Linked DNA regions of Cricetulus griseus. The protein of the gene in region 2 interacts with the protein of the main gene of each other region in a biochemical or structural test. Links are inferred from orthologs where the notes say so. Each region holds a gene or a part of one and is shown on either strand. Other genes may lie near its edges.

Evidence for each region.
Region 1: the proteins of baculoviral IAP repeat-containing protein 3 (region 2) and Ube2v1 form a complex in vitro, tested with the Homo sapiens proteins (2 studies listed by BioGRID). The link is inferred for Cricetulus griseus from reciprocal best matches to the Homo sapiens genes BIRC3 and UBE2V1.
Region 3: the proteins of baculoviral IAP repeat-containing protein 3 (region 2) and Ripk2 form a complex in vitro, tested with the Homo sapiens proteins (2 studies listed by BioGRID, with this or other methods). The link is inferred for Cricetulus griseus from reciprocal best matches to the Homo sapiens genes BIRC3 and RIPK2.

The regions. Positions count from the first base shown.
Region 1 is NC_048599.1:11,779,886-11,783,636, forward strand, and holds the start of Ube2v1 (ubiquitin-conjugating enzyme E2 variant 1), read left to right. Parts: upstream 1-1,240; 5' UTR 1,241-1,363; coding exon 1,364-1,385; intron 1,386-3,751. UniProt on the Homo sapiens protein: Has no ubiquitin ligase activity on its own. The UBE2V1-UBE2N heterodimer catalyzes the synthesis of non-canonical poly-ubiquitin chains that are linked through Lys-63.
Region 2 is NC_048597.1:122,234,566-122,238,216, reverse strand, and holds part of baculoviral IAP repeat-containing protein 3, read left to right. Parts: intron 1-1,663; coding exon 1,664-1,742; intron 1,743-2,741; coding exon 2,742-2,790; intron 2,791-3,651. UniProt on the Homo sapiens protein: Multi-functional protein which regulates not only caspases and apoptosis, but also modulates inflammatory signaling and immunity, mitogenic kinase signaling and cell proliferation, as well as cell invasion and metastasis.
Region 3 is NC_048595.1:129,989,796-129,993,307, reverse strand, and holds the end of Ripk2 (receptor-interacting serine/threonine-protein kinase 2), read left to right. Parts: intron 1-1,100; coding exon 1,101-1,262; intron 1,263-1,808; coding exon 1,809-2,146; 3' UTR 2,147-2,916; downstream 2,917-3,512.

The DNA.
Region 1 (3,751 bases), on a different chromosome or scaffold from region 2:
CAATGTAGATGCTTAGTAAAAACCAAACAGGTGACAATGGGGCGCTCCGGTGAGGGCTCCCAGCTTCCTGTCCCTCTGTAGGCACTTAGCAGTGCGACCTGGAGCTGGCTACTTTACCTTTCTCAGTCTTGTTTTCCACAGCCACTTAGAGGTTTCCAAGGTGGCTTCGGGATGTGGTTTACAGTGTATGCGGATGTATGTCTGTAAGACCTTTGCATATTCAAGACTGTTGAAATGGAATCGCCAAAGGAGGCCTTTCCTAATTGTTCCCCTTTCCTATCCCAGGTAAAGAGTTCATTTATATTCACTTGTTCTCTGTCCGGCAAGGATGTAAACCCTGAGACAGACTCTTGCCTCTTTGGGGATGTTGTCATTTCCAGCACCTAGCCGCCCTCCTACATATAAATATCTGAATGAATGAATGTTTAGATCAAGAGTGAAAAGACGCAAAGGTAGGGGTGTGGCTCCCTTGATAGAGAGCTCGCATAGCAGGCACAAGGCCCTGGGTTCCACCAGCAACCCTTCTAAAACCAGGAGTAACACAGGCCTGCAACCCAAGCTTGTGAGAGGTGGAAGTAGTAGAATCAGAAATTCAAGGTCGTCCACCTCTATAGGGCGAACGCTAGGTCAGCAGGAGTCCCGGGACCCTGGGTCAAACAAACAAAACGATTTAAAAAAAAAAAAATGATCGGGCGTTGGGGGCGCACGCCTTTAATTCCAGCACCCCGGAGGCAGAGGCAGGTGGATCTCTGTGAGTTCGAGGCCAGCCTGGTCTAAAGAGGGAGTGCCAGATGAGGCTGCAAAGCAACACAGAGAAACCCTGTCTCGAAAAGCAAACAAACAAGCAAACAAAAGGCTGAATGCATGCTCAGGAAGGTTCTCAATCCCCTGGCAGCGCCGGGTCCCTTCAGGTAGCAGCAAAGCAGGAAACAAGATTGTAGTGGCCACAGTTTGACCTCTTCAGATACCCATAACAAAAATATCTGACTCAGCATCTGAATCGAACACCTCTCAGCTTCATTTCCACATTAATAATGAGCTGGAGGCAGCCAGAGGGGAAACCGCCCAAGAAAGGCATGGGGTTCCGCAGCCCTTCCTCCCCCGTTTGCTCTCCCAGCTCAGCGTGACCACCGGGGCCCTGGCACCGGGCGCCGGGCTGGGCGGGGCAACCTGCAAGTCCCGCCCTCGTGCTCGCTCACCCTAGACCCAGGCAAAGCCCTTCCCGCCCGGCTCGTGCGACCCCGAGCGGGCGTCAGCGGCACCGTCTGCGTCTGCGCCTACGCCTGCGCCTGCGCACCAGCGCCCGGGGAAGCTCAAGGGGGGGGTGAAGAAGGGGCCGGCCTTCGAGCGACAGCGACGCAAGATGGCAGCCACCACAGGCTCGGGTGAGCGGAGGCGCCGGGCGTGCTGGCGGACGGGGCGCGGGGCTGGCTGGGCTGGGCCCGGGGCTGGCGGAGGCCACGGTGGCCGGGCCGGGGCTCCGCGATCTCCTTGCGGCTGCTCTTGGCGGCGCGGCCGGGCCGGGACGAGCAGGCGGCGGCCGGAAGCCCGGGCGGGGGCAGCGGGGCCGTGGGCGGTGCGGCCAAGCCGGAGGTTCCGCGGGCGCCTCCGGGGGTGGGGGTGGGGGAGGCCGGCCGAGGGGCCGAGCGAGCCCGGGAACGCCCGGGCCAGGCCCCGCTGAGCCGGCCTGAGTGACGGGATCCGGGGATGCCTGGTGGGGGACGCGGGCGCAACCCCAGGGAGCCTCGCGGGCCGCAGGCGAGGCCACCCCAGGGCCCCGCGCGAATTTGGGGTCGGGGCTGCGAGAGGGGGAGTCTCCTGGTGGTCGCTTCCCGGGGAAATCGGGGCATCTGCACAGGGAGAGCCCGGGCGTCCGCAGCGGGAGCAGGCCTGGGCTGTGGGGACCACGGTTTGCCCAGATAGGTCTCGGAGGGCGCGCTGGGAACCGTGCGCGATGTGGGGTGGGCACGAGCAGGTGCCTCGGGAGCCCCGCCGGAGGTCAGGTGGGGCGTGTCATCGGTGGGGAGACTGGGACGGGGTGCAGTCCCCAAGATGTTTCTTTTGGAGAAGAAAATCCTCCTCTTCCTGCACCAGGCGGATGAAGGAAGTGCCTGTTTAGTTGGAGCCGGTCACTTCGAATAATTGGGAAAAATATATGGGTTCAACTCAAACTCCCCCTTATCTGGATGGGTGGGAGAGAAGAACACTGAAATGAGAACCCTTGGGTGACACGGAAGGCCTAGCAAGGGGGGGTGCTTTTAGGGGAGAAGCTCTGCCAGTCTCTTGTGGGCTAAGAGAAGCCTGCTGTGCCACCACCTGAGATAGGCCTGAGGGGGAAGCCGAAGGGTCTGTCTCGGGACAGACAACTTGCACTTGGTTGTCGCAGCATGGGGCTCTGGCGGTCTAGAGATGGGGTAGGCATTGGTGAAGGGGACCCCCCGGGGTGTCTAGCTCTTCCAGGGAAGGACTTTGGAGAGACTAGGTGCCCCCTGTTGATGAAGAGCTGCATCTTCTGGAGCCTGGTGATGGGGGTGGGCAAGGGGCAAGGATGGGCCGCCGGCCTGGGTACTGGCGTCTTGGAGCTGTGTGAGGCACCAACAGCAACAGGGTTAGGGAGGGTTGAAGGGAAGTTCCAGGGGAGTCATCTTTCCAGGATTATTGCTCTTGCCGTATTCCAAGAAGCCTTCCTTGTGTGTCTTAGGGACTCGAAGCAGAGAGGTTCTGCCTGCAGTGATCCACCACACACTACCTGGGGTCTCTGACAGAAGGCTGTGCACAATGCTGGGTCAGTTCATTCACCAGCACAGCCATGGGCACTCCTGGAGACCAAGGCTGAGTCAAGCCAGACTGGGGCGGGGTATGGACATCTCCCAGAGCAGTGTCCCTGCCAGACCTAGGAGTGCACTGCCTGGCAGCCAGTATTGGGGTGGCATTGCCACTCAGCTCAGCTTGTAGTTACTTGAGACCGTCTCACAATCTGGTTTGACAGCTACTTCTAACTCCTGAGACGCTGCCAGTGCTTCCTAAGTACAGAGGAGGGGAGATACAGCAGCAGCTGCTGATGTGTGCTGGAATCCCAGGGCTTGGCCTGGAATGTGGCTCAGCGCTAGAGTGTTCATCTAGCATATTGGAGGTCCTGGGCTCCATCCCTGGCACCACAGAATAAAGCAAGATCACCTAGCATGGCTAGATACCTTAGGGCAAGCTTTGAGGTACGGTGAGGGCTTCCCACAGATGATGACTGGGGCCTATTGTGTCCTATTGTGTGCAGCAAGCAAGATAGTTTCATTCAAACCAGACAGAAGACCTTTCAGGGTGTAAATAAAGTGACTCCAAAAAGCAGGAAGTGCTGTGAAGAAAATGGGGAGTCTGGAGAAGTGGGGCAGGACTCGATGCAGTCCCCCCCCTTCCCCCATGGTGGAGCCAGTGTGTAGTGTTAAAAAGATCTAATTAAAAGGCAGGGCAGCAGCGGTGCACACCTTTAATCCCAGCACCTGGGAGGCAGAGGCAGGTGGATCTCTGAGTTCAAGGCCAGTCTGGCATACACAGTTTCAGGACAGAGTCCAGAGCTACAGAGAAACTCTGTCTAGGAAAAAAAACACATTAAAAAGAAATGCAGGGAGGCAGTGAGATGGTTCAGCAGGTAAAGACCCTTGCTGAGCCGTAGGCCCCGAGTTTGATCCCCAGGACCCACATTGTTAGAAGAAAGCGCCACCTTCCACAAGTTGCCCTCTGACCTCCATAGGTACCC
Region 2 (3,651 bases):
CTCTTAAGTACTGCAGATTTTGTTTTATTTTTTTATGCATGAGTATTTTGCCTACTCACGTCTAAGCACCATTTTGTGCAGTGCCTGCAGAGGCCAGAAGAGGGCGATGCACCCTCTGTGAGTGGAGTTAGAGAGGGTCTGAGCCAACTCTTGGGAGTTGGGAATCAAACCTTGGTCCTCTGGAAGAACAGCCAGTGCTCTTAACTATTGAGTCATCTCTTCTGCCCCATTACTTCAGATTTTAAACATTGTGAAGATTATGAAGAATATCCCCCCCACCCCCTCGAAAAGCCAAAAAAGAAAAAAAGTATTTACATAGATTTTTTTAAAAAGTGCTTTCCATTACTCTAGTTAAATTTTTTAATACTTTTTTTTGTTTGTTTTATGTGTGTATATTTTGTGAAGGTCAGAGAACACTTTTTGAGGGCTGGTTCTCTCCTTTTATCCTGTGGGACTGAACTCATGTTACCAAACTTGGTGGCAAGTACCCACTGAGCCGTCTCGCCAGCCGCTACAGTAGGAGTCCTGAGCCTGCACCAGCACTGTATGGATTCACTCTGTACTTGCTTTAGCAGGGGATCTCTAATGTAGGGATTGGGAAGCTCATCAACAGAAGGTTGTGCTGAGTGTCCCCATTCTTTCCCTCAAGTCTGTTTGCATGTTTTCAGACCATGACATTGTCACTGAAATGATCACATGACTTATGGAGAGAACTCTCTGCGTCCATGTTGGCTTAGCGGTATTTTTAGAAACCTAAGAAGAATGGAGAGCAGGGAGAAACTCTGAGTAGAGACCTCTTGGTGGCCTTGGCTTGAGGACTGTGCTGGGAGCTCCTCGTGATCACCACTCAGTGGCTCAGCCTTGACAGCACAGAGGCTACTCCTCTCCATGATCCTGCCTTTCGCTACAGCCCCTTCCTCCTTCCTGTGCCAAGTCAATAGTGTGGTGCTTATGTTTGTGTTCAAGCTCCTGAGGAATGTTTACCAGCCTACATAGAATGGCTCCGCCCAATGTGCCATAAACTTTTCAGGATTTTCAAAATTCAGAGAGATATGGTATAGCCTGGTAATAAAACTATAAAACATAAAGTAGTAAAGCTAATTTTATAAAGCAACTGAAGTATATGAAAAGTGCTAGAAGTTAATCAAATTCACCCTCCCCTCAATGGGCAGCACTTGGAGAGATGGGTCAGTGGTTACCGCTCTTGGTTCCCAGCACCCACATTCAGGCAGCTCACAACCACCTATAATTTCAGTCCCGGAGGGCCAGGTGCTTCTCACCTCCATGGGCCTGGCATTCACGTGCATAAACACACACACGGACACAGACATACACACAAGCAAAACAATGAACCTTCATAAAGCCCCATAAGGAAAACAAGCTCACACAGTGTCAGTCCCGGTAGCCCAGGCTTGCTTATTCTCCTAATGTTAGGAATCTGGTCTTTGGTGATTCTGTCACCTGGGTAACCAGATTTCACACAAGGTGAACACCTAGACATGAATGTGTCATTACATTTCACTTCACTTTCTGAAATTAAAATGAGTTTTCAATCATAAAAATGAGCACAATAAAACTACTTGTAGTGGCACTGTCCCTTCTGAGGCTGGTAATGAACAAAGTTGTCTTGTTAAGGAATGCCCAAGGCTTCTTTGCATTTTAGGTGTGAATACTTGATAAGAATCAAAGGACAAGAGTTTGTTGGCCAAGTTCAAGCTGGGTACCCTCATCTACTTGAACAGGTAGGAAAGACCTCTGTTTTCTTTTCAATTATTGCTTCCCAACAGAGAAATTTTATTTATTTTTAAAGGGTTAGTTGTTTAACAAATTATTTTTAAGAATTTGTTTGTAAAATAAATCACAGAGTAATATTTCAGTGAAAAGGTGAAAGTTGTTTTAAAACAGGCCCTCATCTTTTCTTTCAAAAATCAGCATCACCATGCCGGGAGCCATTCTTGTGAGAAAAAGATCTATAATTATTGGCCACATAAAAGACAGTGTTTGTTGTATTCCTCTTTAAGCATTTGTCTAACCAATCATCAATGTATTAAACTCTGAAGCAAAAAATAAATTAAATTTGAGGGGAGATGTCTACCCTGTAGTTTTTTTTGTTGTTGTTGTTTTTTTAAGTTTTATTTATGTATACAGTGTTCTGTCTGCATGTATGCCTACATGCCAGAAGAGGGCACCAGATCTCACTATAGATGGTTGTGAGCCACCATGTGGTTGCTGGGAATTGAACTCAGGACCTCTGGAAGCACAAGCAGCCAGTGCTCTTAACCTCTGAGCTATCTCTCCACACCTGTAAATTTTTCTTCAGTGACTTGAGAAAGCATTTGTTACTGCTCCTTGGAAAAAGCATATGGGAACTTATTTTATAGTCTAAGCTTCAAGAACTTATCAGCCATGGCTAGAGGAACCGAGTGCTGAGTCATCTATCCCAGCAGATGAGTAGGTACAGCCGCTGCAGATGCAAGGCCATCATGTGGCCTCTCCTGAATCCAGCCAGTCCTATCCTGAGGAGGCTCTGCTCACTGCAGCACACTGTCTATTGGATGCTGGTAACCTTGTTCAAACCCCTGGTAAATGTAAATGAAATGATGCTTTTGACTGAAAAAAAAAATGTCTTCTGGATGGCAAAGTGGTTAAGGTAGTAGGTTAAGTAAAGCAGCTTTGTTGGTGATTCTCAGTGCAGTAGTGGGATGCAGTTTACATTTTAACATGTATGTTTTTCCCCATAGCTATTATCTACCTCAGACACCCCAGAAGACGAGAGCGCAGAGTCACCAAGTATGTATAATGACCCTAGTGCATTTAAGTGAACCAGCTTGTAGTAAGAGTGAAGGTGCAGATGTGTGTGGTTGTAATCCAGCATTGGGGAGGTAGAGGTGGAAGGATTGTTGTTCAAGGCCCCATAGAACTACTTGAGACCCTGTCCTAAAAATAAACAGAAAGGTTATAATGGTAAATGCAGATTCGTGTTGATCTACAATTTATAATTAATACACCCTGTTACTGTCTGTCAAACATCAATGCACAGCAGAGTTGCTTGGAGAGCCAACAGTGTAGATGTCTAGTTTATGCTTCAGACCCCACAGACTGAATCAGTGTATGTAGTGTGTGGCTTGGGTTCCTATGTACAGTTGTTTGATGGTCCTGTGAACCTAGGGCCTCAGGCATGCCAATCACAGCCTCTTTCACTGAGCTCCACCCTGTAGCCCTGGGCATCTATACAGACTGTGTACATCCAGCCTTGCCCTGTTGTTGAGCCTTTGTGGGAACAAATACACTGTGTTTTCAGTTGCTGGCACACTCCTCCTGTCCATAGAGAGGGTAGAACATAGTGTTCCACCCTGACTTGCATAGTACTTAAACCCAAGAGAATGGAGCAAGCATTTGAACAGATCTTGACACTGCTTTTCAGTGTTCAAGGCAATACATTGTAATAATTTATTTATTTTTATTTTATGTGCATTGGAGTTTTATTTGCATGTGTGTCTGTGTGAGGGTGTCAGGTCTCCTGGAATTCAAGTTACAGACAGTTGTGAGCTGCTATGTGGGTGCTGGGAATTGGACCCAGTCCTCAGGGAGAGCAGCCAGAGCTCTTAACTGCTGAGCCATCTTTCCAGGCCTAATGTAATTTTTTTGTTT
Region 3 (3,512 bases), on a different chromosome or scaffold from region 2:
GATGGATGATAGTTACGATTTTAATTTTTTTTATTTTTTGTTTGTCTGAGATACCATCAGTGCCTATCGGGGTGATGTACAGAGTGTTGAAGAGGCAGTGTGTTCAATAATGATGGAAAGACAATTACAGAAATTACTTGAAAGGATATAGTGGGAAATTACCAAAACCGAGTCAGGTAGAAATATAAGGGTATTTAATAGGGAAAAGCCTTACTTACAGAGCGACCTAAGTAGGCGTGGCTACAGCTTCCCCTACAATAGGAGAGATAAACAGTTGGAGCACTGGAATTGTTTTCTAGAGGACAAAGAAAACATGTCAAATACAGATTTATTGCACTTAAAAGTTTATGTATCCGGGGGTGGGCTTAGACCCTATCCCAAAGGATATGATAGACTCTGATAACACCATCCAGGGGAGCAGAAAGGAATTGTGATAGGTAGGGTTTTAGTGGGGGGGTAGGGGAGGAGAGGACTGGGATTGTTATGTAAAACAATCTTGTTTCTAATTCAAATTAAAAAAATCTGAAAGAAAAAAGTAAAGAATGTCTATGGATCTGACAAACATACATAAGACACATTTAAACTGGAAAGGGAGGAGTTCACCGGGAAGAAGTAATGGGTTATGAGAAGAAAGGAAATTTTATGACTTATAAGCATAGAACAACAAGCACTAACAGTGGTAAAAAATAAAATAAAATAAAATAAAGCAATAAAAAAAACAACTATTCTGTGTAAATGCTTGTTCGACAAAAAAGTGTTTGCAGAGCTGGCGAGATGACTATGGGCAGAGTGATTTTAGCCAGGCCTACAACCTGAGCTTGATCATCAGGACTCATGTGGTAGAAAAGAAAGTTACCTTCTCTGACCGCATGCATACACACACACACACACACACACACACACACACACACACACACACACAAATAAATGTAATTCAAAATACTTAACTTATTTGCAGAATTGAATTTCTGAAGTAGTTTCAATGACAGTGAGAAACCAAGGCCATTGGAGCCTACCTTCTGTGTGAGCCACCCATTGATATTTTACTGATAGGACTATCTAGTGAATACTCTACCTACCCCTAATGAAATGTTCTGTAGGAGGACCTCAAGATGGCTCTTCATCGAAGCTGCATCACTGTTCTGGAAATCACAGCTGGGATGGTGCCGTTTCCGAATCACACAGGACAGCCCTCTGTGATCACAGACCCACCCTGTGCTCTTTGGCTATAATAAATCCACTCTTCGTTTCGAAAAGTTCAGGTAAGTATATGCTGTGAGATATACTGCAAATGCTGGTATTCACCTTACACGAACACACTGAGTAAATTCACCATATAATGAGCTTTCTTAGTTTCCATTCCCTACCCTAGAAACATTTAAGTAGGAAAGCATTTCCAACTTCGTGCTGCCCTTGTCTTAACAGGGCCAGGTGCACTCCAGGAATCTAACTAGGAAGGAAGTATTAAGATGAAGCCTCACTTGCTACCTTAGTAAAGGTGAAGCTATTTTTGTTTATCAACTATGCTTGTATCCTTTATGTTTGAAAGGAAACAAAAAGTAAAATCATTTTGCCCCACAACAGCATATAAAAAAATACAGTATTTGCTCAGTAAGGTGAATGGGAGATAAAACTCAAGCCTCTGAATACTTCCTGAAAAATATAAGCATTTTCAAAAAATACTGTTTATACTGGCACCCTCATGTGGAAATGTCCGTTCTGCTTATTCATTTTTACAAAGAATTATACTCATTGCTTGTGTCTGTACTCGTCATCATTGTAAATTGTTCATGCTTGCTCTTTCAAAGAGCGCCTGCAACCTGGAATAGCCCAGCAGTGGATCCAGAGCAAGAGAGAGGACATTGTGAGCCAGATGACTGAAGCCTGCCTTAACCAATCGCTGGATGCCCTTCTGTCCCGGGACTTGATCATGAAGGAGGACTATGAACTCATTAGCACCAAACCAACAAGGACCTCAAAAGTCAGACAGTTACTAGACACCACTGACATCCAAGGAGAAGAATTTGCCAAAGTTATAGTACAGAAGTTGAAAGATAACAAGCAAATGGGACTTCAGCCTTACCCGGAAATGCCTGTGGTTTCCAGAACACCATCTTCAAATTTCCATCAAAATAAAAGCTTATAAGTGAGTCTTTTCTGAGAGGAAAGTCAGTTTACAAATGGTTATTTATATGTCTGTTACCTGGATAATATTTGTATAAAAACATGAGTATTAGTTGCTTCCCTGAAGGTTTTTTGGATGAGATAAGTATGTCTCCTTCCATGGCATTGCAGTATTTTTTTTTAAATTAATATAAGTAAAACTTTTGCATTATGCTGTGTAGTTCAGTTTTTTATGTCAGTTTCATTACTTGAACCTTTTTATGTAATAATTACATTTTTCTTGAATATACCAGTGCCTTAAGGTAGCCTTTGTTTCTGATGGAAGACATTTCCAAACTCACTTTATCTGCGGAGCTTCATTATTCCTCTAAAATGAAATTTGACATTACATAGCAGTGATACAGTAGTCCCACCCTGAAATTCCGAGTTCAGATCCCCAGTGAGTTACTCATTTTTAAATTTTATTCACAAACTGTTAGGAGGTTATTTCCAGGTGCACAAGGTGTATAAAGAAGAAAAGAGCAATCTCTTGTTAACACTGGCCGTCTATCCACCTCTCCTCTTTGAGCAGAGTGAACAACCACTGTGCCCCTGATGGCCTGCTTCCTGCTCCTGTCTAGAACATATGCTGACTGGGTAGAGGCCCTTCCTTACTTAGAGTGGCTGTTTTCTCTGTAACTCAGCATGGTTTCCGCACTGAGGCGTGCTGCAGGTTCAGCTTCCTCCTCATCGTGCACATCTGGTCAGTTAGCACACAGTAGCCAAGCTGCTCTATTTTTTTTTTTTTTCTAAGCTGTTCACACCAACTTCACTACAAACAATAAAGATACAATGCAATGTGAGTCCCTTTTCTTTTGGCTGCTAGCTTATGTCACTCAAGGAAACCTACAAGAAGTGATACCTTTTTCTGAAAACGGTTTAACAATGTTTGCAAAAAAATAAGAAACAGCATAAATTTGAAAGCATATACTTTCGGGATGCACTAGACTTAGAACCTGAAAAATATGAATAAAGAATAAAAGGATTTAGATGGCATTTAGGCAATGAAATATCCCCATTTAAAATAAGAATTTAAGCACCAGGGTTGGACAGATGACTCAGCACTGGCTGCTCTTGAATAGGACAAAGGTTTGGTTCCCAGTACCCATACAACAGCTCACAAACATCAGTAATTCCAATTCGGGTATCTAACTCTCTTCTGGCATCTACAGGCACCAGGCACATACACAGTGCACTTACATGCAGGCAAAACTCATACACATAAAAGGAAAAAAAATTTAAACAATTTAAATTCCATTTTAAAATGGCATTAACCCATGGTATAACTTTTTTGAGACTTTCAGAAACACATAAATTTATAAGGAAAAATAAAAATTAATTGGACTTAT